2 linked regions of the Notamacropus eugenii genome follow. The protein of the gene in region 1 purifies or fractionates together with the protein of each later gene. This does not show direct contact. Links are inferred from orthologs where the notes say so. Each region holds a gene or a part of one and is shown on either strand. Other genes may lie near its edges. The genes, in order: protein S100-A4 and PPFIBP1.

What was found.
Region 2: the proteins of protein S100-A4 (region 1) and PPFIBP1 purify together in Homo sapiens (co-immunoprecipitation; 3 studies listed by BioGRID and IntAct, with this or other methods). This does not show direct contact. The link is inferred for Notamacropus eugenii from reciprocal best matches to the Homo sapiens genes S100A4 and PPFIBP1.

What each region holds. Positions count from the first base shown.
Region 1 is NC_092873.1:377,518,901-377,534,329, reverse strand, and holds protein S100-A4, read left to right. Parts: upstream 1-7,058; 5' UTR 7,059-7,279; intron 7,280-9,670; 5' UTR 9,671-9,690; coding exon 9,691-9,831; intron 9,832-10,489; coding exon 10,490-10,654; 3' UTR 10,655-10,847; downstream 10,848-15,429. Other genes in the region: S100A3 (protein S100-A3), read left to right, coding at 3,358-3,498, 4,651-4,812. UniProt on the Homo sapiens protein: Calcium-binding protein that plays a role in various cellular processes including motility, angiogenesis, cell differentiation, apoptosis, and autophagy.
Region 2 is NC_092874.1:218,737,918-218,753,375, forward strand, and holds the start of PPFIBP1 (liprin-beta-1), read right to left. Parts: upstream 7,565-15,458; 5' UTR 7,524-7,564; coding exon 7,460-7,523; intron 4,665-7,459; coding exon 4,459-4,664; intron 1-4,458. UniProt on the Homo sapiens protein: May regulate the disassembly of focal adhesions. Did not bind receptor-like tyrosine phosphatases type 2A.

The sequences.
Region 1 (15,429 bases):
GTTGAGATAAATCTATGAACTCCCTGGCTAAAGCTTAGAGAAGTTGGCCTAAGGGGATAAGGCTGGCCCAAGCAATCTCTGAGGCTCACCCTCCTGTCCCCTTCCAACTCTGCCTTTCCTCTACATTCTAGGACATCCCCCATCTGCAGACAACAGTCAGAGCTTTCAGAAAGCCCCTGCTCCTACCTAGCCCTGGTTACAGCCTTCTAGGGTTGACCTGAAAATTTGGTTAAAGGAGGCAAACAGGCTGAGCGATATGTTAATGCACGTTGTTTATTCCCTTTAAGCTAGTCTAAGCTAGGAAACTTGTACAAAGAACCAAAACCTAAGTTCTGACTGATGAAAGAATGATCAGGTTAAATGTGTTTTAGGACAATCCCAGGATGTCTGTGTCTTCAGATTTATGGTCTCTATATGTGTTTAACTATATCATAAGATAGGAATTTTCTTAATTGAATAAGTTGTAAACACAGTGAGACAGGACATTTGACAAAGTAGTATCAATTGGAATTTATGATATCAGAATATCTGGGTTTCCCATATATGTCATATATCTCTGTGATACCAAGATAAGAAGAATGCCACCACTCTGATTGCAGGAATCCTTTCATAAACAGATCTTTGAAGTTGCTGACACAGGAAAGGGCATTTTTAGAGCAAAGCAATGCAGTCTGATTGATTAGTTTAGGCTTTGGTCCTTATTAAAGTCCAAAAATGATATTAAATGGTTATCACTAACAGTCCTTTCCGCAGAAGTCAGCAAATGGGCCAGATTAGGACTGGGCGAGAAGGCTTATGCTAGGCTGTTTATCAGAGAAATCTCTCTTCCCCTTAGGGAGCAGAGTATGAGTCACCTTATATGAATGGAAATGACTACTACTTTCTTGGCTGGTTTGGGGGTTTCCTGTCCTGGGATTGGTGAAATGGTTATCCCCCAAAGGATTTCCCAGTTGGGGAAGCCATCCCTTAATATGGTCGGGGAAGGGTGGTCCCATGCAGGAACCCATTTCCCAAGACTCCCTCCAAACTGCTCAGGTCAGAAGGATGGTTCCCCCATGGGGTATGGGCTCTGAAGGGGTATCTTAGGTCTAGAAGGGACCTTAGAAGGTCTGTTCTAATATCCCACATTTTGGCAGGTAAAGTGTCATTATTCATAATTCAGAGATGAGGTAGCTGAGACCAAGGAAGGTTGTGACTTGCCCAAGAGAGCAGAGGGAGGAAGACTAGAACCTCAGCTTAGCTGCCCTATATGAGGAGCTTTTCACTGCACTATCCTGCCTTTCATGAGGCTGGAAAGAGAATAATGAAAAAAAGAGCAGACTTTGGGAATCCTTAGCATTCCTAATTCTTGCTCATTCCTCAGCTATTATTCTAAGGACCTGAGGGTGAAATGCAAAAGTGAAACAGTGCCCCCTTTGATCATCCCTTCTCTTTTCAGGGAGTCCCTGGGGAGATAGATGGGTGCTATGGGGCTCCTGTTGGAATAGGGTCTTCACAAGGGAAAAACTGCCAGATTTGGAGGACTTAGGGCCTGGAGTCAGAAAGACTCATCTTTATGAGTTCAAATCTGGTCTCAGATACTTCCTAGCTATGTGACCCTGGGCAAATCACTTAACCTTGTTGGCCTCAATTTCCTCATCTGTTAAATGAGCTAGAGAAAGAAATGACAAACTACTCCAGTGTCTTTGCCAAGAAAATCCTAAATGGGGTCACAGAGTTAGACATGACTGAAACGACTGAACAATCAAAGGGTTAAGGTCTCTAATACGGTCAGTCCCCCAAAGCCATGGGCCAATCCCCTTTATAAGTGCTAAGGCCATGAGGGTAGGCAGGAGAATCCTGAGGGAGAACAGAATCTGAAAGGAGAGGCAAAGAGATCACAGAATCATGGAAACTGAGCTGGAAGAAGCCTCAGAAGTCATTTAGGTCCATGCCTACCTGAGCAGTAATCCCTTCTATAACACCTGTGATAAGAGTTTAGATTAGATTCCTTTCATTTCTGACTCTCTGATTTTCAATAGTCATCTGACTTCTGCCTGAAACCCTCCATTACCTCATAGTTCCAGTCTGCCTGGATCTCACTGGATCCCAATCCTGTCATCTGACACATTGGTGTCAAACTCAAATAGAAAAGGGGTCAATAAATCATGCATTAAGGATCCCTGTGGGCCATATATTAACTTAGAAAATTCTCTATTAACATTATTTATGTCTTACCATATTTTTATCTATTTTGTTAAATATTTCCCAATTACATATTTTTTAAGGCAAATGAGGTTAAGTGACTTGCCCAGGGTCACAGGGCTAGTAAATGCCTGAGGCTGGATTTGAACTCAGGCCCTTCTGACTCCAAGGCTGCCTCTACCCATCCAATTACATTTTAATTTGGTTCAGGCCACATTTGAGAGCATTTGTGGACCTCAGGTGATCCTAAGCTGTGTGTTTGACACCTCTGCTCTCACATATTAACTATTAACTCCCACCTTAGTACTCTTTGCAAAGTTGGTATACTTTTGTCGAAGTTATTATAAAACATATAAGAGAAAATAAGTCTAATCTACTTCCTATCTCTGCCTGCTACTTGTCAGCTGATAAGTTTATTTAACTACATAGGTTCATAGATTTCTAGGTTTAAAATTGGATTTTTAGAAACCATCTAGTCAAAATCCTCATTTTAAAAATAAAGAAATTGAGACTCAGAGTGGTTAAAGGACTTGTCCAAGGTTACATCAGCAGTAAATGACAGGCAAGATGTAAACCCAGGTTATGACTCCAAAGTTGGTGTTCTCCATTCTGCCATGCTAAGGAAGACTTCATGGAAGTATTTGAGCTTGGTTCTGAAGGAATTTGGATGAGAAGGGAGGGCCATGTGAATAGAACTTCAAACCAAAGTGAAAGCAGACATTAGGGAGTCACCTGCAGGATGACAGACCCTATAGGAGAGGGTAGAGGCTGAGGGGGGTATGTGCCAAGGAGAAACTCGAGGGTACTGCCCTTGACCTTGATTCTTTCATAGCCATCTGGGGGAGATGGAGAGATGATTCAGATACTGTTTCTTTCCTTTTAGAGCTTATGGCATTGTAGGTGGAAATGAGGATTTCTAACTTTCTAAAGTATTTGGGAATGTGGTATATTTGGTTTGTAGTTATACTTTAAGAGTTTGTGCTAATGTTGTTATCCTTTTCCTAAATGGTGAACATCATGATGGCAGGGTCCATGCGGTATCTACCCTGTGTACCTTCTTTAATGTCTTAGCAAATGGTTTTTGCTTAATAAATGTTTGCTGTATCTCATGACATGATATGCATTCATATGCCCTAGCTGGAGAATAATTGTGTCCTCCTTCCCCAAGTGACCATGCCATCAACCTTGGAGGAAGCATTGGCTGCCATCGTGGATACCTTCCAGCAGTATTCAGCGCGTTCCGGGGACAAATTCAAACTCTCCCAATGTGAGCTGAAAGAATTGCTGCTAAAGGAGTTGCCCACCTTAGCCCCGGTAAAAGGCCGTCAGGGGTCATGGTGAAGATGGGGTGGTGTGAGCTTTTATATTTCATGAGTTATCATTTCTTGAGCTGGCAATCTCGAGCAGAGTGGAATGGGATGTGATGGGAGTGGGGAGTAGGAGGCAAGATCCATGTTTTACAGATCGCTGAATTGGGAGTCAGGAGAGGCAGGCTCTGATCCCAGCGCTGACACTTAGCACCGAAGCCTACAGACTCATAAGTTTATTCAAAAGAAAAGCTGGAATAAAATTCATTATGTGTGAGCTGAAACTCCAAAGTAGGAGTTGCCATTATGATTTAGCATAGCATAGAAAACATCATTATCAGAGAAAGTACATTGTGATGAAATGCCCTTTGAAAGTAAATGTGTTACCTACTTCGAAGAGTGTTTTACAACAGAGGGGTGGAACTTGTAGCTAAGGATGCAAGCATCCCATAAAACTAGCAAGTGTAGCACACACCAGATTGAAATGTAATTGAGGAATGATTAACAAAATAAATAAAAATATAATACAATATAGATAATGTTAATTTGTGGTATTCTAAGTAAACACGTGGCCCTCTGGGATCCATTTCTATGGAATTTGTCATCACAGTTGTAAGGAAAGAACTTTAAACCTTTCAAGTGCTATATAGATGTGAGGTGATTATTAATTAATGATAATAAATGATGGAACAGAATGAAGGATATTTTTAAAAATAAAATTTTAGCAGTCTACATTTTTTTAATATCAGAAAATATAGTCTTTTTTGTGACAGCATGGGGGACTTTACAGTGTAATTCTTAAAGCCTTCAGTGGCTAGCCATACCTCTGGGGGCCATTTTCAAATATGAGGGACATCCTGACTAGGGTATATAAATGCCTTGTTCAAGCACTAAACTGGAGCCCAGAAAGGACTTCCTGACAATGAGATGTAGTCTTTCTGTACAATGTAGATTAAACAGACCATCATCAGTCTGAGAGACACCTGATAAAAATGATTTGCCCAGGGTCACACAGGGGCTCAGGGGATAAAGCTGAGGGACCCAGGTCTCTCGATGTCTAATCCAGTGCTCCTTCTATTATGTCATGGCACTGATTTGAGAAAGCCAAGAAGTTCTTCCTGTCTCAGTCTTTCTTCTTACTCTCTTCTACATTTCCCAGACGAGGCTCCGAGAGTGTGACTACAATACTCTCATGAGTGCATTGGATACAAACAAGGACTGTGAAGTGGATTTCACTGAGTACGTCCGAGCCCTGGCCTGTCTCTGCATCTACTGCCATGAATACTTCCGGGATTGTCCCCCTAACCCTCCTTGTCCTTAGTAACTCCATAAGTGGGATGGGTCAGGGATGGGGGGAGATAAAGTGAATTGATGCTTGGGATAGAGCTGTAACCTTGGTGTTATGTCCCTTCTACCTGGAAGTTGTCTTGGAGAGATTGAACGGTCACTTGTCTGCTCTGTGGAAAGCCAGGTTCTCCTTTGAGGATCCTTGTACTACATAATGGATGAGGTCTCCTAATCTAGACATTCCTTAATCTGTCTCAGTTTTCAGTTTGATTTAGGACCCTTAGGAAATTTCCCTTCTCCTCTTCCAGCTCTTTTGCTTCCTTTTGTCCTTCTCCTTGGGTCTGTGGTATTCTATTCTAATTCAAGAATACACTAAGAAAGTACTTTGGGGAGGTAAAGAGAAGACATAGAGAGATGGTGGGGTTAGTAGGAATGAGGTACTAGGGATGAAATTCTTTTCATTGTTCATGTGCTCACCAGTGTGAATGATCTCTCAATAAAAATGGCTGTTGTTCCAGCTCCCTTTGCGGTGGTTTGGTTATTCTTAAAAGGGAATGGAATAGGGCTGGGCTGGGCTTCTTTGTTACTGAGACCCAACTGTTTTGTCTAATACCTCAAATTCCAGCCATCCTCCTAAGGAACTGGGATTCCCTGAGTCCTGTGAATAAAAACTGAGGGGGTACTTGGAGAACTTGTTGATATTACTAGTTGGGAGAAGAGGCTTTATGTTCTCAGCTAGTCTCACCATCTCTAGAGGAAGGAGGATCAGGAAGAAGAGGGAGTGGTTTTGAAACTGCTGCAAGAGATTTGTGGTTAGATTTGAAAATGGAGAGTATACACATTGGATGAAGGGAGTGCCCTCTGAACATCTAGAGCAGGGGGTCAAATTTCAAGGGGGTCTAGTGAATGGGGGAAAAAAATTACATCTTTATTTTCACTAACCTCTAAATGAAATTTAGCAACTCTCTCAATCATTTGAATATTATTCTGAAGAAAACTTCATCAGACTGGCAAAGGGGTCCATGGCACCAAAATAAAAGTTAACAGCTCCTGAACTACAGGCTTTTCCTCTCTGGGGGTCTTTGAGAGAGAAATACTGGTGGTGGGCTGGAGAGGGAGGCTGTGATAGGGAGAGGTGAAGCACGTCTCAAATCCGGGTTCAGGAGGGCCACTGGGTAACAGTGCTTCCACAACAGAGCACCAGTGAAGTGGAGGGTGGGGCCTGGGTGGGGCTGCCCATTTCTAGCCTGGGGCTGTGGGGAGCCGCCAGGGCTGAAATGGCGGCACTAATAGGATTAAAGCTGATGGCCTGTTTTCTTCTCGTTTTCTGGTATACCTCTCCCAACCCCAGTCCAGAGTAAGGGGACAGCATCTGGGAGAGATACCCCTGTGCCTTGGTCTGATAACTGATTAGCAAACCTTTGAAGATATTTTATCCCTACTCTCATCTCCTGATATGTAACCTTAGGATGCCATCCTCAACATCCAAGTGTCCCGTATCCCATAGGTTCATGTGTCCCCCTTTATTCTGGCACCCCCACCTCACCCCCATATACACTCTCATGTGTACTCTTTCCCTCGATTTGTGTCCCTCTTCACCTTCTCGGGTCTCATTCTGGGCACTCATGTGTCCTTCCCTCCCTGTTCTGATTCATTCCAGATGCACATGGGTGCACCCCCCACCCCAATCCTGACAATCAGCCCCATCCTACACACTCATGTGTTCCCCTTCCTTCCTTCGTCCCTACACTTGGACTCCTTCTGGGCACTCAGCCACAAACTCCAGAGGATAACAGTACTTGGAGATGTTTTTCTTTCCATGGAGTATTTCCCAAGCATTCTCCAAGTCTTTTTCTCTGGAGTTAGCCTGGCATCCACTTCCATATCCTTCACACATATATCCTGCTATGTCTAGGAGAGCCACACCCTCAGCAGAGCCCTGCTCCCCATGAGGCAAAGGGACTAAGTGGCCCCCTCTCTCACACCAGATCAGTCCTGTGCCCTGGGTCTTTCTTCCTTCTGTTCTAGAAGATTCTTAGTTTTGTAGGAATTTTCCATCCTCATGCTCTCCCCTCCCCTTTCCCCTACAACTTAACAAAGACTGCATACCCCCCTCTTATTGTAGCCCCTCCTACAAAGTGGGGTTGGGGCTCTACCTACTCCTTCAGATTGGGGGCTCAAGGCCTGTGGGCGCTGTCTGGCTCTATTTTCAGGGTTCTCTCTCTCTCTGATGGGGGGGAGTAGTCCCTGAAAACTATCCCTGTATTAGTGCCTCATCTTGTGTAAGCTTTGCTCACCCACCAGCCAACGTGAGCTAGGAGGTGGAAGAGGCCTTGCTATTGGTCTTCTCTGACCCAGCATCAGGGAGGGGGTGTCCCAGCTCCCCTCCGCCCCTTGCCACAGGCAGGGTTTGGCTGGGGGTATAAATAGGCCCTGGCTCAGCCCTCCCCACTGTGTCCCTCTCTCTCTCCCCTCTCTGCATTTCTTCTCTGGTTGGTTTGGTGAGTTGTGGTTGACTTGGCCGGGGATGTGGGTGACAGGACCCTAGGGCCTGGTAGACAGAGGAGGCTGAGTGGGGGCCAGATGTAGGAAGTAGATCCAGATGTGAGGATCCTACAGAAAGACTCTGAGGAAGGAGTGGTGAAGAGGGGTAGGTGTTTCAGGTTTGAGTTGTAGAGAGATGCCAGGGTGGGGTGGAGGAGTGTCCCAGTGGGGGAAAGATTGCAAGACCATCTGACTTGGATGCTGTATGCATGTTGCATATTACATCTCTGCACCTGGAGAGTGCATCTGTGTCAGCAGCATGTAGTCATGTTTCATGCATGTACATATGTACATGTGGAGCTGTGTAGTGGCTGTGTAGAAACCTCACTTCTGATCTCTCTCCCGAGCAGGGGAATAGCTCCCCCTCTGTCCACTTCTCCTCCCCCTCCTCTCCTTCCTAACTCACCCTCCCCTCTGCTTGACTGTTTTTTTCCATTGTCAGTCCCAGGGCCTGTCTCCAGAAGCAACCGCCCACTCCTGTGCACAGAGCAGAAGAATGGGCTGGGGAGGGCTAAGCTTTGGGGAATGTGTGAGTGTGAGTGAATGAGTGGTGGAAAAACCGAGCTGGAGATTACCATTGCTAGCTTGTTGTTGTGGTACTGGGCACTGAGAGGAGCCTAGGGTGGGGCAGGCATTGCAGAAACAACTTCCTAGGGCGACTAGGCAGGCGAAAGAAACTAGAGAGGAAACTTCAGGGCAACAGTTTTGTGCAGGGAGGTGGGGACAGAGGACTGGTTTAAAAAATGACCTTTAATGTGTTCTAAACTTAACTGGATGCAGTGGCAGATTTTCTCTGAAGAGGTGCAGTGTGCCTGGCAGGGAGGCATCGGAAGATCTGGGCCCCACTCTGCTTCAGTTTCCTCACATAAGAGGCTGCCAACCAAGAGAGCTTCCCTGAACCTCCTATATGGGGAAACTGAGGCAGGGTGGGGTTCGGCATTCTTCAATCTTTTTGTGCTCCCTCAGGCATAACTATAGTAGGGGCTGCAGTATGAATTGTCAGTCCTGAGTCTAAGGACTATTTGGCCTTCTTTGGAGGGCCTCTTCTCTTTATTGTCTGACCCTGCTTGGGCCAGGGCTAGTTTCTCTGTCCTGTCGGTTCGTGCCCTCAGGGTGGTGAATCCTGCCCCATTCATGCTTTACTCTGAGAGGAGCCCAGAAGTCAGCTCTCTAGGGAGGTGTCCAGAATCGTCCTGTCTTGAAGGGAGGAGCTGGGACCCTGATGGTCCCAGGGTGAAGGGTTCAGAGGATGGGGTGGAATGCTGACATTTATGCTGGTTTTGGATCTATAAAGTGAGGAGCTCAGTCTAGATTTAGTGGTTCCCAACTTCTTTGAGTAGGTAGACACTTTTTAATGTAAAAAAATTTCTAGATCCTCCCCTCCCACCTCATTATAGTAAAAATATAGAATATATAGAAAATATAGGGAAAATAGAAAAATTAGCATAAGTTGACTCAGAATAACAACAAAAATTCAGTAACACTTTTGAATGCACCTACTATAATCAAAAAATAGTAAGATGTGTGAGATTTTTATTTTACTTATTTATTACATATTTATATATATTATCATGTATTGATAATATATTCTTTATTTTGAGTCACTGCAATTACTCAAAGTCCATAGTCAGGGAATGGCTGCAACTAGACAGATGAGCACTAAGGCTTCTTATCTCTGCCCAGAGAAAGGAAGCAAGTTGTTCATAGTCACATGGGTAATAAACCAGAATTCAAATCCAGATCCTGTGGTTCCAGATCCAGGGTACTTTCCACTTCGTCTTGTTATCCAAGCCAGTTAAATTTGGAAGGTTCACCTCTGGAAGAGCAGCAGCCAGTTTACCATGCTTTTTGGACTGCCTTAGCAGTGCCCTAACATGATCCATCGTGATCACTTAAGGAATAATAGGTTGTCTATACAGGGAGCCCTGTCTAGGGTGGGGCATCCCAGGCATTGCCTCAAGTCCTCCAGATGAATATGAACAACTGAGTCTAGAACCTCAATAAGAAGAATAATGAGTTAAAATGGAAAAATTGGGTTTTTTCCTAGATTTCATTTCCCTTCCTCTAACCTTCCAAATGATTTTTCTTAAAAAAAGGTGCTGATTTGAGGGCATTTTTCTGACTTCTCACTCCATCATTGGGTTTTCAGAAGCTTATTCTGGGCTAGAAAGATGTGGGTTTCAGTTCTATTTCTATAGGAATCACTCACTATTCGTGTTGGTGGTACTGAACTCATCAGAGGAGGGAGGTTCCCACATGGATGACATCACCCATTCTTGAAGTAGTCCAACACAATCCCACATCCACTCTGTCCCAAATCAAAGGTGTCTTCACTTGCTCCCTCCTAGGTGCCCCTTAGGACAGTATCATGGCAAGCCCTCTGGAAAAGGCTCTGGATGTGATGGTGTCCACTTTCCACAAGTACTCTGGGAAGGAGGGAGACAAGTTCAAGCTCAACAAAACAGAGCTGAAGGAGCTGGTGACTCGGGAACTCCCTAACTTCTTGGGGGTGAGTAGTGTGTATGTGTGCTGTGGAATCCATAGATCAGCTCCTGCCTCCAGCTCTCCTGCCACTCGAGACGCCTGTTGACCACATATTCTCATTTATTATAATTATCATATTAACTATTATAGCTAATTATTGTAGAAGAAAGGTTCTTAACCTGGGGTTGGTGAGCTATGCTATTATATTTATATATTATATTTTAATATTTCATGTTATATGATTTTATTTTTATATTTAAGTATAGTTGGTAATAGTGTGTATTTAATTTTATGCATCTAAAAATGCACTTAACCTGGAGTCAGGAAGAAGCAAGTTCAAGCCTCATATACTTCTTAGCTATGTGACCCTGGGCAAGGCACTTAATCTCTGTCTGCCTCAATTTCCTCAACTGTAAAAAGGGAATCATACCGGCATCTACCTCCCGGGATTGTTGTGAGAATCAAATGAATTTAATATTTGTAAAGTTCCTGGCACATAGTAGGCACTTCATAAATGCATGTTCCCTTCTCTTCTTCCTATTGTAAAAGAAGGGGGTTGGATTGAGTGGCCTTTGAAGTCCCTTGTTGCCGTAAATCCAGGACACTATGCTCCGCTGATGAGGTGGTGGGCTCCGTTTTGGGGAGTTGTCACACCACATCTTGTCTCCTTTCTCCTCTTCCAGAAAAAGACAGATGAAGCTGCCTTTCAGAAGCTCATGAGCAACCTGGACAACAACAGGGACAATGAGGTGGACTTCCAGGAGTATGCAGTCTTCCTGTCCTGCATTGCCATGATGTTCAATGAATTCTTCGAGGGCTATGCTGACAAGATGCCCCGGAAGAAATAAAGGGGAGCAGCGGTGATGCTGGGAAAGGGGAGAGGGAAAAAGGGGAAGCTCCTGGGGGAGGGGGGATCTGGGGAGAAGCTATAGGGTCACAGTATTCTCATGGAGCCCTGAGGTGGGCCCATTTTACCATCCTGGGTGATGCTGGAGCACACCCAGGTCACTGAGTAGAGCTAATAAAGGTTTATTGCAAGAATGTCCACTGGTGTTTGGGGAGTCATTTTGGTGGATAGTGGGTGGGTCAGTGACGTGGTTACCCAATAAAGAGAGTGGAGAGGCAGAGACCTGCATAGTCTCTCTGACTTTAGGGGCTTTTAAAAGTTGGGGGAATGCTGATGTGAGTTGTCAGTGGCAGGGCTTGGGGAGGAGGAATTTGAAAGGAGGAGTCTTGGGGAAACTGGTGCCGGAAATGCATGTAGTTCATTGGCACCGGTGAGATAGATTCACAGACGGTGAAAGCTGAGGTGGATCTTTTAGATCATCTCATTCACTTTACAGTTGAAGACTGAGACACAGAATGGTTTATAGATTCATAGGGTGCTAGAGTGAAGAAGGACCTTCAGAGATCACTTGGTCCAGACCCTTTTGGAGTCCAGACAAAATTCCTGGCTTAATACTCTTTCTATCTCATTTCTGTCTTGATGCTCTTTCCATAACACCCTTAAGAAATTTTGGGTAGCATAGGGACGAGCAACAAGAGGCAGAAAAATCCTTGAGAACATAGAGATGAGACTTGAAAAATCAAAAACCACAGTCCTGAAGAACCACCATAAATTAGACATGTTGCCCTCTTGAGTCCCCTGTATTGCCATCATCCCCCTCTTTCCCCATTCTTCTTCTAACTCAAGGTCATATTGAACATCACATCTGTTCTTGGTGTGGTATGTTGTTGAGGGGTCCTTGGGGGTGGTGGATGTTGGGAGTCAGGAGAAACCGTGGTTGGGGGGTGGGGTAGGGAAGGGGAAAGTGTGCTGAAGACAGCTACTTCTCAGCATGCCCTTGGGCTTTCATTTGGAATAGAAAGGGAGAGATGGAAGTAAAAATTTTCGTCTACTTAGTTCCTGGCCGACATCACTGGCCTTGCCCCTTCCTCCACTCACATGTTGTCTGAATCACAGAAATACTTAACCCCTTCCTGTCTAAAGCAAAAGCAGAAGGGGACATGAGTTAGGGCTGTTCCAAGGGATACTAGAAGGGGATGTGAAACAACATTCCTGAAAATTGTCTTGGGATGAGATGTCTGTTCTGGAAATAGACCCTGGAATTGCGTGCCAGCTGAGAGGGAGGTCAACCGAGAGGTCAGAGGGGAGGATAAAAAGAAATCAGAGGAAAATTTCCAATTGAACAAGTTAGTCTCACAGTATCATAGGCACCGGGGCTCAAAGGAACCTTAAAGATTGTCTGGTCCAATCTCCTCATTTTATAGATGAAGAAACTGAAGATCACAGGGTGGGGAGAGACAGGGAATCTTGAGTTTGAAGTCAGCTGAGATAGGGAAAGAGCTGAAGAATGATTACAATACGGTTATAGGCTATAAATAAAAAAGTCATTAACTGTCATGTGAAGGATTAGGACTAGAAATGAGGCCCATTGGACATCACTTGGGGACCCAAAAGATGTTAAAAGGAGCTGAGGCCTTAATTTAACTTTCTGATCCTGGGTTAAAATTTATCCTGCCTGAAATTTGGGGGACAGCAGAGGAGATCTCTCAGAAATTTCTCCCTTTTCCTTGCTATAATTTTTTCCCCTTAAGTGTGGGAGGATGGGTGACCCTAGTATGTCTTTCCAGAGGCCTCCCTTACTGTTTAGGATTTAACAATAAAGGCTTATGATCCTGTCACCTTGTTTATGGGTGACTCCTTCACTTCTTCCTTCACTAATTCACCACAGTTGCTGTTGCCCCAGGTCAATCCTTCCTGAGCCTCACCAATCCACCCTTTTGCATCATTCTGTTTCTAAACTGTGCTTCGGAAACTCCTATCACCAAGCAACCAATCCCTGGTCTCCCTCTTTAGTCCTGGTGCCTCACCCCTGAGAGTGAAGGGCCAAGGGAAAAGGGAGAGGACTGGTAAGGGAGGAACAAGGGACTAATCAAGGTAGCCACTTCTCATGCCCGCTGTCTCTCTGACTTCCAACATTCAAACTCTTTTTTTCTCCCTTCCCCAATCTTGCCCCACTCTAAATCTTTTTACCCTATTCCAGAGACCCTGCCTAAGTTTAGGTAGGAATGACTATTCTGATACCCTGTTTGGTAGTTGGGCTCCCATCCTGGCACTCAGCCCTAATTTATGACAATCTACACCTACCCTTATCCCCTATAATGTCCTTTCCCGTCTCTGATACCAAGATCCCTATTTGTCATTTCTTTTAATAAAGTCATGGCAGGGTTAGAAAAAAGCAAACAAAAAAAACCAATCATATCTTTTAGAAAACTTCAGTTCTATGGTCAGCCTTCAAAATACCACTCTGACCTGTACCAGGCATCTTTTACACTCAGCCATATCCCCTGTCTCAGTTCTATGTTTCAAGTGCTATGTTTCCTTGGGAGATATGGAGATGATAACACATTTCTTTTGTGCTTTAAGACTTAGAGAACACTATATTTGGAGTCAGAAAACTTATGACTTCCTATCTTTGTGACTTTAGGCAAATCATCTCACCTGTGTAGGCCTCAGGGCACAGTGGATAGAGCACTGAGCTTGGAGTCAGAAAGACTCCTCTTCCTGAATTCATATCTGGCCTCAGACACTTACTAGATGTATGACCCTAGGCAAGTCACTTTACCCTGTTTACCTTAGTTTCCTCATCTGTAAAATGAGCTGGAGGAGAAAATGGCAAACCACTCCAGTGTCTCTGCCAAGAAAACCCCAAATGGGGTCACGAAGAATTGGACATGACTGAAGGATGACTGAACAACAACAAAATATGAAAGGCTTGGTCTAGGTGGGCTTAGAGGGCTCTTCCTATTCTAAAATCGATGCTTCTATAATTCTGGGACAATTCTGTCAGGTAAATGGTGCAAATACCGCTATCTGCATTTTTGCAGATCAGGAAACTGAGGCTTGGAGAGGTCACAAAATCACAGATACAGAACTGTAAGGTCACATAGCTAGTAAATATCATTGCCAGGATTCCACCAGGGTCTACACCTGCCATCAGGTTAAGCCCTTTCCCCCACTACACCATATGTTCCTCCCATGACTCACAGTGACTGACTCAGGAGACAATCTCTGCTTAATACCCTAAAGGCTCACAATCTGAGCCTCGCCTCCTCTTTCTACAGCTTGTAAACAAAGCAAGAGCCATGGGGTCCTTAGTTCCTCCTCCCAGGAGGCCCGGGTCTGAGCCTTTCTGTGTCTCCTTCCCCTTTTCATTGGCCCTTTCCCATCCCAAGCTCCCTGGAGTCTAAACAAAGGTAATAAAGCTAGAGAGTAAGCAGAGATTCTATTTCTTCCCATCTCCTCAGATTCACTGGTTGCTTTGGCTTCATTGGGTGAGTCTTCACTGGACATCCTCAGCTTGGCTTGGGTGGCTATATGGAGGGCAGGAGTATTTTCCTAGGAGATTTACAGGATGGAGGGGTTAGTGTTCAGGGGATGGGAGGCTAGAGGCAGCAAACCCTGCTTAGTAGGAAAAAGAGCTTGGATTTGGGGTCAAGAGATGTGGGATCATTTGAGGTTCTGATGATCAGCAGGTACAAATAGCTTCTACTTTTCTGAGCCTCATCCGAAAAATGGGGATAGTCCATTGCTAAACCCCCAAGTTTTATAAAAAACACTGAGACAAGTGAAGTGACTTCAGTGCTTAAGGTCACACAGCTCATTAGCAATAGATCTGGGCCAAGACAGGCTGAGTGAGATTTAGGAGAAAAGGGGAGGATTGGGGGTCATAGGGGTGGGGAGAGAGGTAGGAACAAGTTGGAAATAGGAGAAACCTTTTGGGGATTGTCAGTATAGGGGGGAACTCTCCCTCCTGTAACCCCAGAGAACCCTCCTATTCTAGTTCATCAACTCAGCTTCTTTGGGGAAATCACCTCAGTTCCTGTATGGCTACCATCCTAACCTCCCTAGAGGGGAAGTGATTTTCAAATCTGAACCATGGCAACTAGATGTACCCTTTGCTTTCTCTTTCCCCTGGGGTTTGCTTCGCTTCTCCCCTGGCCCAAGGTGACGGAATCAGGGGCCTCCACCTCCAGGCTTCTCTCAGAGAGGCCATTCCCCAAACTGGAAATGACCTTCCTCTGGAGAACTCCCCTAGTATTTTGTTTTGCTTGTATGCTTACCATATAATACTGTATAGTATAGTTATCTGTTTGGGTCATAGGCTCCTGTTAGTGTCCCATGGGAAGGGGAAAGTGGGGGAAGGTGAGGGATTCTATCTTATCTCCCCTCATCTTTCATAACCCTTGCCTCTCCCCCAGCATCAACACAACACAGAGCTCTGCATATTTTTGGACTGTTTGCTTTTTAGTTGGGGCGTATGATTTCATCTGTATGGGGAGCAACTCCCTTCAATAAGCAAATCAGCAACTTCTCTGTTAATTGTAGTCTTAGAGCAGGAATTCTTAACATTTTTTTGTGTCCTGACCCACTTTGGCAGCAGTCTGATGGTCTATGAATCCTTGCTCAGAAAAATGTCCTTAAATACATGAAACCAAATATGTAAGATTTTAAAGGAAACTAGTTACAATGATACAGGGTTAACAAAATAATTGAAAAAAAAATAAGTTCACAGGGAGCAGCTAGGTGGCACAGTGGATAGAGTACTCACCTGGAATC
Region 2 (15,458 bases), on another chromosome or scaffold:
ATCTGGAAGAGGAATTTTTATTCCCAGTATCCTAAAAATTTCAAAGGAATTTTTTTTTTAAAACTGTGGCAGTAAACCTGGCCTGTAAAATGGAAATATTGGCACTTCAAACATAAGTTCTTGAAATTGATTATAGTACTCATTTTTTAAAAAATTGTTATATAAATAAAGCTAAAGTCCTTTTTACTCAATAAATAGCCTTGCTTTCTGCAAAACAAATTAATATGAAAAAAGTTTAATAAAGAATTTTTAAATAGAAAGGAAATTCAAATAATTAAAATGATCTCTCTGAAGATTAATGCTTGATTAAATAAGCATACATTGAAGGCCAATAAATAGAACTACCCTAAACTCTCAAACATGAAATTTTAAAAATAGCTTTCATCATATTTATCTGTTAAAAAAAAAAAAACCCATCTGGTTCACTACCAACTTCTTCAAATGGAGTCAGTAAGAAAGATTTTTATCTTATTTCTTATGCCCTGAGGAAATTATCCTTCTTTTCAGAAAGCTGAAGGAGGTAGGGAAATTTATCACCATCTATATAAATAAACACACTAAGGATGCCAGCTTCCACTCTGTAATAACCAAGGACATCTACAGATCAGTGGCCAACAGAGCTTTCATTCTCATTTTGAAGACCAGAAAAGACTGAGTTTTTCAAAAAAGAATGTTGGATATGAATGGAGAAAGAAGATACTGTTGATCCCGAGAACAATACATAACAAACACAAGACTAATAGTCTTACAGAGTGCATATAGTGGCTACACTGCCAGCATGGACCATTCACTACTCTCAACATTTCTGCTAGCAGTTCTAGTCTATCAACGACTCATAAGGGATTCCTGCATATACAATGACAGAACAAAGAGATGTTTTTATGACCCTGTAGAGGGAAATTAACTAGAATTCTTCATTTTACACCATTTAAAGCATATTTACATGAAATGATGGTGCCTTTGAAAACAAAACAAGAACCCAATTCTATTATGTCTTTCACAATTGCACAAACTTTCAAGAATCAAGGGGATACTTCAGAGGGAAAGGAAATATGGGAGTGAATAAACGCAGCAGGCAAGGACAGCAACAGCAACACAGGGACTACAGAAACTTGTTTCTAAATGTACATGAAGAGCTAAGGGGTGAAAGCAGAAATCTGACAGAGGTAATGGTGAAGAGGCAGATGGAGGCAGTTTGGATAGCGCCTAGTGATACCCCACCTACAGGTAAAGGTTTCTTTTGTGGGACAACATTACAACACGGGAAGGTAAGTGAAAGGGAAGGGGAGGGGAGCAGGAGGATAGAGGATTGTATTATACGCTAGGTCAAATCAAGGGCTAGCAATGAATGAGAAGAAGGTGACCTCTGCAGTCTTAGGGCAGTGGAGAAGATGAAGAAATTATTGGACAGGGGAAGAAAGGAGGTCTTACTTTGGAAGTGGGAGAGGTTTCACTAGGGAATACTCTTACACGTGAAAGGAGATAAGGACTTTGCACTGGAGACCTGTGGGACTTGGTGCCTGAAAAGTCTACTTGTCCTGGGAGGGGGAAAGTTGGAACCCCAGGGGGCAACTAGCCCCTGGAGGAGTAGAAGGGCATGGACACAGAGGGATTTCCAAGCAAATGTAGAAAACAGTTCAACAAGAGAGGGTATAGATCAATAGTGGGGGGAAAGGACTTAATATAGGGTAGTGACCTTTCTACATTTACAATAATTAACATTGTTCTGAGAATGAGACACAATGGAAGAAAGGATTCCATGGGATAAGTCCTAAAAGGCAGTGACAAAAAGTACCTAGAAAGAAAAGTCTTGAATGGATACCTCAGAAACTTTGAGTGTATGAATAATACAGAGAAAAGAGAGACCAGATGATTATAGGCATGATGAATCAGAGAATGAGGTTCTAAAGTACAAAGAAAGAGAAGACGGATAAGGAAGAAAGTGAAAGAAATCTTTTTTTTGGAAAAAGGGGCAAAAAGAAAATTTAAATGAACAAGTGGTAGTAATTTTTGTCATGAATTAAAGGATTGCCATAGAACTTCTAAGTGTTGGCACAGAACTCATTTTTGAATAAGGATTAGGAAAGTAGTCAATTTCCAGATCCAAACAGGAAATTAATCATTGCTGGCTTCACACAGAATGATATGTGTACTTAAGAGTTTTATAGAGTATACCTAAGATGCAGCATGGCATAATGGAGAAGGGCTAGTCTGGAAATCAGAAGGATATGCTTTCAAGTTTTAATACTGTCATATATTATCTACTTGCTTTTGGGCAAATTACTTAACTTCCCTACACTGATGAAATCACAAGTCTGATTACCCCCATTACACACATACACACACATAATAACTAATAAGTACTATTTCCATGGCTATTGATAGCTGCCTTTTCATGTCACTACCAATTACTGCTAGTAAGTAGAAATTATTCTCACGACAGAGAAAATAACAAAATACCTAAAACATACTTGAAATGTCAATTTATTTTATAGTCACATTTTCTAGAATTTATGCAATCTAAGATGTTCTGAGTACTCTAAGAAGTTCTTATATATGCTCCAAACATATACTAGTGAAGCATAACGAGTATTAGTCTCACTTTACTGTTAAAGAAATTGTAGGATAGATTGGGCAGAATTTCCCAAAGTCATACAACAAGATGCATAACAGGAACAAGGGAGAAAAATGTAAGATCATAATGAGTCTAACTACTCTAAAATTTTATATAATCATTCTAGGTTTCCTTACCTGAATTTAACATGCCTGAGTTTGATGTAAAAATGTCATGCAGTAGGTGACTATGAGGAATCAGACAAGTAAACAACTTGGGGCCCCCAAATGGCAGCTGCTTTAATAACAGACAAATGTTCTTTTTCATTCAGTGTGATGTGCTAAGAATGCCGGGTGTGGTGATGTGGCTTTTTTGGTATCAGACAAAGCTACAGTCATACCTATTAATCGCTTGCTATTCATATCAGGCAGGCTGCTGGTAAATGTTTTACATAAAACATGTTTGGCTCCTCTAACCATGTTGGCATATTAGGTTCCTGAGAAGGAGTTTGGTAGATTGATGATGTTTCAGTAAACTTGAAAAGCCCCAAGTAGCTTAATCAATCTGTTTAATTCAAAGACTCAGTAAAGAATAAGGATCATTGGGTAGAGGCTATATGGCTGCAGCATCCACCACCAAAAAAGTTTGAATTCAATGTTTCCTGCTCACAGGTAATGGAAAATACAGTTATAAGACTCAACAGATGCTAAGTGGTATTTAGATCATTACAATACAGAATTAACATAATCCAGCAGCAATTTATATTATTATTATGGAAATTATAATAGTTTATTTTTTGAACCCTGAGGGTCAAATGGAAACTCCCTATTCTGTACAGTTCTAGTTACATTTCATGTAAACATCCTCATCTCAAGAACAGTTAGTCCTGCTAAAGCCCACAGCCTTAGTGACATCACTGAATCAGTGGGGAATAGGAGTAAAACTGACTCACAGCCAGGTGGACATGTCATTGCAATGTGACCAGTGTGATTTCCTGTCCTATGCTGATCTGCAGATGTGGTCATAAACCAGATCCATCATGCCACTTCCTAATTCAGCTGCACCAGAAAGGCTGTAATCTCCAGTATTTGATATTTAAACATTTAAAATTTTGACATTTAAAAATCCAATTTTTATAGAGTATACCTAATTTTTTATTGATATTTAAAAATCAAATCTTTTAGGAAGTTTTATCATGTTGAAATTTAAGTATTTAAAAATAAATAAACAAAACCTAAAATAAATATAGTTAATTTAAAAAATTAACAAATTCAATAAATATTTAAGAATAAATAAATAAAAATTAAATATATGAATATATAAAAATATTTTTTAAACTTTTAGGAAGTTTTATCATGTCAATAAAAGTAAATGCCATGTATCTTTTCTATTTTGATTTACGTCTTTCCTGGGTTCTTTGCAACTTACATGTTTGACAGACATTCAGACCTTAGCGGGTTTACTGATATATGGCAATGGTGCTTAGAACACTAAAACCATCAATAAATGAAACATTTCTAAGCAAAGTTTCCTCACCATGAATCTTCTAACATGTATTGACTTTTAGCAAAATTTTACTTAATTCTCAAATCTTTGAACCTCAAAAATCCTTATCTTCTCAAATATTATATAATTATAAAAACTATTCAATCACTCTGCTAGAGTCTGGTCATAGGAATTTTATATATGAGATCTAATGGCTTGTTGGTATTAGTGAAATGCAGCTATTACAATGATAAATTATTATTATAGGTAAAAGAAACTCAAGAGAGTCTGCTAAGTGGTGGGAAAACAATATAGTGAGGCTGCTAAACAAAGGTCTCTAAAAATTTTTAAATGAAATCAGCCAAGTTCCCCATTACTGAGATCATAAAAGATTCTAAATTAAAATACAAGTACCCTACCATTTGACTCTGAAGCCATTCAATCAGAGTTTCTGCAGTTGAATCAGGGACTTGACATCTCAATCCTTCCTTCTCATCCGTTTCCATCATTTCTAATAAGCCACGAAGATCTTCCACCAGATGCAAGGCTCGCAAGCTCCCCATGAATGGGGAGGTTGGAGATTGACAATCAAAAATCCCATTGGAATATTCCAGGGCTTTAGAGCCTAGAAAAAGTGAAATGAAAGCAATGAAGTTTACATAAATCCAGTTCTTATAAAGCCAAAAGAAAAGCTATATTTATGGCCTTGCTGGGAAACCATTTTATCAGAATTGCTGTGAAACTCATGAGCTAAAGCAATTAGATACTGTAAATACCACCATGGTGCCATACTCCCTGAGACAGGCAGTTTAGCAAATAATAAATTTCTAATAAGGCAATGAAAATGTCAGCGTTGGAAAAGACTTCAGAGTTCATCTCTGTGTAATCTATCATCTATCTCTTCTCAATCTGATATAGAAATCCCCACACCACAGACCCAATAAGTAGCTATCCAGTCTTGACTTGAGTACTTTCACTGATGGGGCACTTATTATCTCTCAGGAGAGCTCATTCCACTATAGCCCCAACAAACATTAATTGTTGGGAAATTTTTTCTCATATCAAATAAACATCTACTGTCCTATAAATCTAACCTAGGTAATTTATTTATAAAATTACTAACACTGAGCTGACACTTATAATAAATAAGGAGAGAGTTAATTTTCCTTGATGAATTCAAATCACCTGACCCAGATGTACTCCATCCACAGGTTCTAAAAAAAAAAAAAAAAATTGACAGACACAAAAACTACACTACTGTCAGTAATATTTGAAAGATCATGGAAAGCTAGAAGTATCCTCTAGAACAGTGGTTCATAAGTTTGGAGAGACTGGCAAATGTTGTCCCAATGTAGTCCTTCTAGCCTAAAAAATATTGGAGAACAGACCCTCCAGAATTTTGGACGATGAGTTTAACTTCACTTCCTGGTCAAATTCTAGATCAGATAAAGAGATGATTGTTGAATATCTAGATAGGAAAGCAGTAATTACAAAGAACCAACACAATTTTATAGAGAACAAGCCATGCCAAACTGATCAGATTTCTTTTTTTGATAGTAGATGAGAGAATGCTTTGGATGTAGTTTACCTAGAACATCTGCAGAGTTCTAAAAGCTCACCACCAAAAAGATTTATACTCAGTTAATGCATTTTTATATTGTTTCCTCACTAGAAAAATATTCAGAGGTCAAGTCACTGGCTGGGAAAATGCCCAGAAAAGGGAAAAGAAATAAGACTATAGAAGGTTACTTTCTTGGTGAACAGGCATTTCCTCCCTTCCTTTCTGATGAGGAAGAACAATGCTTACCATCAGGCAAAGACACAGAAATCAAGGCTTCTGTGTCCCAGCCCACTCAATGGGCACAGGCCATGGAAGAGCTCAAAAAGAATTTTGAAAATCAAGTTAGAGAGGTGGAGGAAAAGCTGGGAAGAGAAATGAGAGACATGAAGTCAAAGCATGAACAGCAAATCAGCTCCCTGCTAAAGGAGACCCAAAAAAATGTTGAAGAAAATAACACCTTGAAAACTAGCCTAACTCAATTGGCAAAAGAGGTTCAAAAAGCCAATGAGGAGAAGAATGCTTTCAAAAGCAGAATTAGCCAAATGGAAAAGGAGATTCAAAAGCTCACTGAAGAAAATAGTTCTTTCTTCCTCACTAGCAGAGAGTAAGAAAAATGAAGGCCTAGCCTGAATTGGAGATGCTGTGGGATACACACCTCCTCTGACCCAGCCAGATACACCAGAGGAAGTTTTATGAAGCAAGGACATTTGCCATTCTCTGGGACGGGGGAAATAAGTATGGTATTGAAATGGTAACATTGCTAAATAACTTCTGAGGCCAAACAGCCCCAAAGAGAGATTCCACAATTACAGAATAGAGAGTCCATAACAAAGTCCAACTGGACTTGGGGAAAACATGATGTAATAAAGAAAATACTGATCTTAAGAGTTAGAAGAACAGAGCTTGCATTCTAATTCCAACAATAACTACCTCTATAACCCAGGGACTGAACCTCTTGGCTTTTTTATCTGTAGAATAATAATAATCTTCATACTGCCTGCTTTACAAGACTGTGAGAGTGCAATTTTGCAAAAAACTTAAAAACATTGGAGAAATATGAGTGATTACTACTGTTCAATTTGATCTGAAATCTATCTTCTCTTAATTTTCATCTACTGATTCTAGAACTGATGAAGAACTGATTCTAAAACTGGTTCTCAAAGTGTGATCTTGGGAGCTCTTGGAAGTCGCTGAAGTCAAAACTATCATTATAATAATATTTTATACAATATATTTAAGTTCTTTTCTCTAACAAGAAACTACTGATAGATATAGCCGACATACACAAAAGCTCATTGGGCAGGCGAGGATCTCAATAATTTTAAAGAGCGTAAAGGGGGCCCTAAGACCAAAAAGTCAAAGAACCAGTCATTGTTCTAGTGTACTAAGTCTGACTCTGATCCTTCCATACGACAGACAGCCCTTCAAATGTTCTAAGGCAGTTATCACATTCCTTCTTTCCCCAAGTCTCCTCTTCTACAGACCAAACATTCTCATTTCCTTTAACTGTTTCTCATAGGGCATGGCTGCCTCATGCATCTCACCACTGTGACACGTTCCTCTAAACAACTCTTCTAGATTTTCAAAATCCCTCTTAGTGTCCACAAATGGACACTACTTTGCAATGGTCAATCAATCAATTATAAGATTTGGAAGCAAGAAGGGAACTGATATTTTCCAACCCCCATATACATATTTACATATATATGGGAAAACTGAGATTTAGCGATGGGAGTTGATATGTCCAAGATAAGCTACTATGAGGGTGTGATGAAACTGATCAAACCAATATAATCTCCTCCTTCACAGGAACAACTCATCACTGAGTCTGGATTTTAGAAGCTGGAGACTGATCTTACCTGCTATGATACCATCCATCTGCTCCAAAGCAGCTGCCAGCATATCGCTGGCATCACTCATCATTTTTCTAGTTTCTCAAGTGGGGAATGAAGTCAAATCTGGATCTGAAACAACAAAAAAAAATGATGGGGTTATTAACTGCACTCAGAAAAGTATCAACGCCTCCTTGACAAATTACGATTTCAGTTTTCAAGTCTCTATGCTAAGGGAGAAGTCCTGAGGTCATTTATTCACTTGTTCATTCAATAAATATTTATTAAAGACCACATGCTATTTGCAAGTATAATGATCAGATTCAGGAGGAGACACAGATGACTCTTATTAGTACTGCTTTACTAGTAATAGTTGACCTTGTGAGGCAGAAGCTCTTATTGCTCCATTTTCCAAATAAGGAAACTGAAGCTGAAAAAGGTTAAGTGACTTGCCCTGTCATACAGAGCCCAGGTCTGTAACAGAATTTGAATTTAGGTCTTCTTGACCAGTCCAGCATTCTATTCACTAGGCTATACACAACATCTCAGTCTAGTTGGTAACATATAGAACTATTAAGTATTTTTAACATTTTTGGGCAAGAGTCCACAATCTAGTCCAAAACTAGCCAACCACCCAACTTTTCACATTTTAAAATGCAATAAAACTATTTTAAAATATAAAAACCATGTGTAGCTCTAAGGCAGTCTAAAAACAGGTGGTAGAACTTGTCCCTCTTTCTGGGCTGAGCATTAATTTGCTCACCCCTGTTTTAGGGCATCAGTTCTCAAACATTTTAATTTGACGATCCCTTTATACTCTTAAAAATCACTGAGAATTTTTTGTCATTAATTACCTTAAGGTATATGCCTACTAGTGGGACCTCTGAGTCAAAGGGTAACAGTTAAGTAACATGTTTTGCATCATTCCAATCTTTTCCCCCAGAATGCTTGCACTAATTCACAATTCCTGCATTATGTGCCTGTTTTTCCACAAGCACCCTAACTTTGCCTGTTTCTATCTTTCTGCCATCTTTTCCAGTTTGCTGGGCATGAAGAGAAACCTCAGAGTTGTTTTGATTTGCATTTCCCTTATTATTAGTGACTTCGAATTTTCTTTCATACTGTTGTTAACAGTTTATAGTTATTTTGAGAACTATATACTCATAGTTTTTTCAGCACTAACCTATTGGGGAGTAACACTTTTAAAAAATGCTATAGTAATATTTTTTTTTTTGTATTTTTTATATCCCTGTGTATTCCTACAATTCTGCCCCATTGAACCTTTCCTTGTAACAAAGAAAAGCAGCCAAGAAAGATAAAGTGTCCCAGCAAAAGCATCTGATAGGGAGAATGTTTCATCAATTTTCTGGAATCAGAATCATTGCATTTAATTTGCATTCTGATATCTCCTGGTATTTTCATTTGCATTATTTTAGTCATAATTTTTACATTTATTTTATTTTCACTTCATTTTTTCAACAAGTCATCCAAATTTTCTCTGAATTCTCCCTATCACCACTTCCTGTGTTGTAATAATATTCCATGCATTCATGTACAACAATTTATTCAATCACTCTCCACTTGATGGGTATCCATTTGGCTTCCAGTTTTCCGCTACCACAAAAAGGGCTGCTATGAATTCTTCATTAATAAATGGGACCTGTGTCCCTTTTCTTTGGCCAACTTGGGTCATATATGGATACAAACAATGTACTGTCTTTTCTTACACAACTGCAAATTGATTTCCAGAATGGTTGGACCAATTCACATCAACAACGGTGTTTTAGTGTGCCTGCCTTCTCACAGCCCCTCCAGCACTGACTAATTTCTGTCTAATTATTTTTACCAACTTGAAGGCTGTGAGATGAACCTTCTAGAGTTGCTCTGGTCTACATTTCTTTCACTATTTGTGATTTGAAAGCATTTTTCATAGAGTTGTTGATAGTTCCTTCCCTTTTCTTTTTTGAACTATACCTTTTGGGGGTAAAGGCTTCCCCAAAAGCCAAACATCTTCTCATTTCTTGCTACCAATGATATTATTATCCCCACACCTATAACAGATGACTTAAACCTCCTACTTTTCTTAGAAAAATGAGTTCACCTTCTGCAAGTTGCTTTATTTCCCTTTTTCTATTCCTCAAACCTTATGCCTCTCTCCTAAGTGCCTCTTCTCCCTAAGTGTAATGACTAGTGCCTCAATGTGGTGCCTTGTTTGCAAAGTTCTTTGCAGAGATTGATTTTATCCTTAGAACAACCTTGGAGGGTAGGTGCTATTGTAGCCCCTATTTTACAGATGAAGAGACTAGGACAGACAGAGGTTGAATGAGTTGTCCTGGGTCACAGAACTGGTATCTGAGATAGGATCTGAACTCAATCTTCCTGACTCTAAGGTCCAGCACTTTGCTCACTACTCCAACTAGATGTTTCATGCCACCTATGCTTTTCCTTTCCACTCCCATCTTCTGGATTTTTGCTCAAGGCATCATCTCCTCTCTCACTCTCATGCATTTTCAGTCTGTCCTTCACCAATGATTCTTTCCCAACTGTCTGCAAATATGCTTAGTTCTCCACAATTCTAGAGTGCCTCTGCTGAACATTCTAAATCATCCAGCTGCTATTCCTCCAATCTTTTCTTCCCCTTCATTAATAAATTTCTAGAAAAGTCATCTACAATTAGAAATCAGATTAAAAGCAATGACTAATCAGGGTTTTAGGTGGAATGAACCTTCTCCTCTTGGTATAGAGGTGGTAGACTAACTACAGGCAGTGAATGTTGTATAAGCTGGTAGAGGTAGTTTTTCTTAAGTTGTCTTATAGAATGCCTCCATTTTCTTGCTACCCTCCCAAATCACTGCAAGTTGAACTGGCACTTGAACCACTCCACTGAAATTGCTTTCTCTAAGGTCATCAATGTAATCATCAAGTCCAATGATCTCTTTCCAATCCCTACTCTCCTTCACCCCTCTGTGGTTTCTGATGCTGGTGATTACTTCATCGAGTATCCACTCTGAAGTTACAAATATCACATGCCCCATGTTCTCTCCCTCCCTCTCTAATGACTCCAGGAATGGCTCCCCTTCCTAGTTCTGGTAAGGTGGCTGGTTGTCAGAGCTCTGTCCTTCATTCTCTTCTTTCTCTATATTCTCTTTCTGGAAAATAACTCCCCCCAGTTTTAACTGTCACCTCTATAAAAATGGCTCTCAAATCTTTATCTCCACTGCTTATCTGTCTTCTGCTCTCTAGGCTCCCATCTCCTACTGCTTTCAGGATATCATTATGTAATCTATACTCCAACCAAATGGAAAAGCTTTCTGGCCCTGGGACATATTCTGCATTCTCACATCTCCTTGCTTTTTGTCCATGTTATTCTCTACACTTAGAATGCCTTTCCTTTGACTGCTTAATTCCTACTCATTTTATAAAGTACATCTGGTAAAGATATCTCTGATCCCTCGGATGGTAACGATCTCCCCTCAAGGACTCACACAGCACTTTGCGTTCTAACCCTTGTTATACTATTCCCTTTGTGGTGGCAAAAAAATTGGAAACTGAAGGGATATTGATCAATCGGGGAATGGCTGAACCACCTGTGACATATGAATACTGTACTGTGTTGTAAGAATACTATTGTGCTATAAGAAATGATGAGCACATTTCAGAAAAAGCTGAAAAGACTTAAATGAACTGATGCTAAGTGAAGTGAGCAGAACCAGGAGAACACTGTGCATAGTAACAGCAACATTGTGCAATGATCAACTATGATAGCCTTAGTTAGCTCTTCTCAGCAATATAATGGTTCAAAATGAATCCAAAAGACTTAGTCATGGAAAATGCTATTCATATCCAGAGAAAGACCTATGGAGTCTGAATGCAATGAAGCATATCATTTTCACTTTTCCCCCATTTTTCATAGCTTTTCCTTTGCGTTCTGATTCTTCTTTCACAACATGACTAAAGCAGAAATATGTTTAACAAGACTGTACATGTATAACCTATATCAGATTACTTGCTGTCTTGGGGCTGAGGGAAGGAAGGAAGGGAGGGAGAAAAATCTGAAACTCAAAGTCTTACAAAAATGAATGTTGAAAACTATCTTTATATGTAAGTGAAAAAAATACTATTGAGTGCAAAATATATATATATATATATATATATACACACACACACACCATTCTGTCTGTTGTATCTTATAGTAAGATATAAGTTCTGTGAGGTAAAGGATAATTTATCAATTAATCAGCATTTATTAAGTGCCTACTATGTATATACACAAAAATGTAACAATAAATGCAATCAAGGAGCTTATAATCTATTTTAACTAAATTTTATATTTTATAATTGCCTAGTAAAGTGATTTGCATGAAGTTTGCAGTAAAGAAATATTTCTTACTGAAAAAAATTACTGAAAAGCTTTTGGTTGTGGGTTGCATCTATTGATATTTACTATATTAGAAATTAAAATTGTCAAAAATTTTTAATATTTATGTATTAATTTAAAAGTAATTATAAACTCATTCCATGTTAGCATAATTTTTATAAAAAATAGCTACTTTCTAAAAAATTTTCTTAAAAAATTTAGTGAGAAGAATTGTTTTATATATTTTTGCAAACCCCTTTAATGCCTGTCTTAATGAAAAACAATTGGATTCTCATACCTGCTTTTGCATTCAATCTGTGTTGTTTTGGCTGTGAAGTATATGGAGAAAATTCGGCATCACACACACATGCAGTTAGAAAGAGGAGGATTATTTTAATAGGTAAACAATGTCTTAGGATCATTATGAAAATAGTTTGACTTTATCAGGGGGCCCAAAGACCACACTTTGAGAATAGCTATTTTAGAGGGTTCTGTCAGGGTTACTGAATTCACATGGATTTTAATATACATCGAATTAAGTAAAAGTTTATTAATCTGTGCTAGGTGGAGGAGTTCTGATATGACTTGAAATAGATGTAGTCATTATAATGAGATGGCACACAATATCTTAAGTAAGCAGACTTGGATGACACGTAAATTCTTCAGACAAGATGGAGATAAAGTGTTGGATTCATGAATGAAGTTAGTTGAGTCTTTTCAAATAGGGAAGTCCTGAAACATTGAATAGGGATGTGGGCTGACAACATAGCCAGGCTATAAAGTTTTCTTCCTCTTTCAGTGATACCATTAATTAGTTGTTCAGCTTTGGGTAATAAACTCTCCTTTCTGGGTATCAATTTTAAAAAGGGGATTATCCTAGGTTGTTGGATTTTTTTCCCTAGTGAAAACATTAGAATGATTTTGTGACTAATGACATTTCCATCTTTAAAACTCTATGTCTCTATGAGTCTGTGAGAATTTGTAAAAGTTTAAGGGTAGCTATTTGGGCCTATCCCTTTGAGCTTCACAAATGACACGTAGTTGTGGTAAACAGAAGTTTCTCCATACAAATACTACCTCCAATTGAAATTAGGGCACAGAGGAGTAAGATCACATAGCGACTCAGTGGTAAAACCAAGCTTAGAGCCCAGTTAAATGTGTTGTTGGATGGTGCAAAGAGGGGGAGCACAATTTTAAATGTCAAGCTTTAAAGTGAAAAACTAAAAACCTGAAGAAATCCTTGAAGAGTCAAAGCATAAGACAGCAGAACTATCTTTGAAGTTCCTTCAATCTCTTGACTCCATGGAGTTAAATAGCAAAAATTCCCTTTTCTTTTAAGACTAACACATCATGGAGGTATAGAGAAATTTGACAAGTTATTAAAAATGACCCAACTCCACCCCCCTCAAACCCATAATATCTACTTGGATGAATAGTCAACATCCATAAAATACAAACAAAGATATGAAAAAGAATACTCAAATTTCACTAGAAATAAAACTAGAACAAGAAATACTTATACATCTCAAGCCCAACCCTTACAAACAAATTCCTGTTTTTCAAATGGGGTAGGAAAAACTTTCCATTTGTAGCAGCTTTCTATTTCTTTCCTATTTCTAATCTGAGAGACATTTCAGGTAGTGTAAGACTGGAGGTGTGGGGAACACTGGCCTAATTACTGCTTGTGCTATTTCTAACTTAGTAAAAAGAACTTGAGCCCTTAACTCCACCCTTTTGTCAGGCACTAATTTAGTATCAGTGGGAAAAAAACCCAAAGTACATTTCTATTCTATATGGCTGGTAAGTTCATTATATATTCAGATGACTGAAGCAGTTGAGGTAAAGAGTACTGATGCTAATATGCTCCTGGGGGCTCTTTTATTTCCAGGGTATTCCTGGGTAGGAAACATGGGATCAAGGAGTGGCTTTATTTAGTACATAAAAATGACCCTGGCATTTTTACAGCATTTTCTACTTTTGAAAGTGATTCCATAATCCATCATGTCATTTGAACTTTGCAATGGCTCCATGAGGTAGGTTGGTCAGGTATTATTTTCCTTAACTGATGGGTTAACAAACTAAGAATCAGAAAACTTAAATGACTTGCCAATGTCATACAAATGGTAGAGCCAGAACTGGAACCCATGCCCCCTTACTTCTTCTGTCCCAGGTGCTTCAGAAGGCCACATTTTTGCATTACCCTCAGGACCATGATATTCCTCTACAGAGAAGTGGGCCTACAAGAGTTTCCTAACAAATGGAACTGTTAGGCCTGATCTAGAATAAAAACAAATCTCCCTGCATGGGGTTCTGACTTGGGTGTTGTACAGAGTCCACATCTTTATTTCAGTATTATCTTAGTCCTGTCACAGTGGCTTGCTCACAAGTGCTTAAAAAATATTTGTATAAGAGCAAAAAGCAAATAAAAAAACCCCCACTGTCTCTGCCCTCTAGAAACTTGCCATAATATTGATATATGGCAATAAATAAATGGGCCATATCCATAAATACTTATGTCACCAATACTATTACTTTCAATAATGATGGCAACTCATAATGTCTTTTTTACTCTTTAATAGAATATTCACAGCCATGATATAAGGCATATAAAGAATCTGTGTGAAGTGTACTTGCTTGTTGCCAACAATGGAAATCTACATTCACATATGTTTATATATACAGTATGTGTGTGTATATACATTATATAGAGAGATAGATACATATATACATACATTCTTTATTGTTGTAAAGAATAAGGTAATAGAAAGGATTTGTGCTTTGAATAACTCCTTCCCTTCCGCTTCCTCCACAAAAACACATATGGTACATTATACCATTGCTTAGCTGACACAAGAATACTGGGTAACGGATCATGCCAGAAATGGGTGAGAACACAGGCCAAAAGGAAAACAGGTAGGGGTTAAGACCTAACTTCACAGAACACGTTCCTGTAATACAAGGATTTGTTCTGTAAAACTTGCGCTCAGTCCAAAGGCTGTGTCCAAGGACTTGGAATGACACACATGGCCTCCTACCCCTGGGTTAGGTAGTGGTAAGCAAAGCAAAATGGGAAAAGGACTTAGCTTTTAAAAAAAGTCAAGAACATGAAGAAAAAGAAACTATTCCCAGATATCAGGGTGTTTTGGGAGGAGAACATAGGTGCTATACCTCACGTCCCACCAGCTGGGCCCTTATTTTCCTCAGGGAAGACTGAGATAGAATTACTGGTTGCATGAACAGAGAATAAAACAGGTTGGAACTTAGAAGACAAACTTAAAATTAAATTTAACAAAGCCAGATTCTTTAAGCTGTGTATTACAACTATTTCTATATAATCTGCATAAATTGTAATAATGTCAAGGTCTAAGTCTAAAGAAGACCCTCTATTCCTTAGGAGCAGAGCCGTCTCTCTTTTGGGGAGTATCCTCTGCTATTGTCAGAGTCTAAATACTTTATGAAAAATACAGTTTAGCAAGGACATAAAAAAAGAAATATCCAAAAAAAATGCATAGATGTTACTTTTCGAAAGAAGGTGAATAATGAATGGCAGGCAAAATTTGGGTTTCAATCAACATTTATACTATATACTACAATTTAACTGAATAAGCAATCTTAAGTAAAAAAAAAAAATAAACTAGAAAATACTTTTCTCACTTGTGAAGGAGTGAT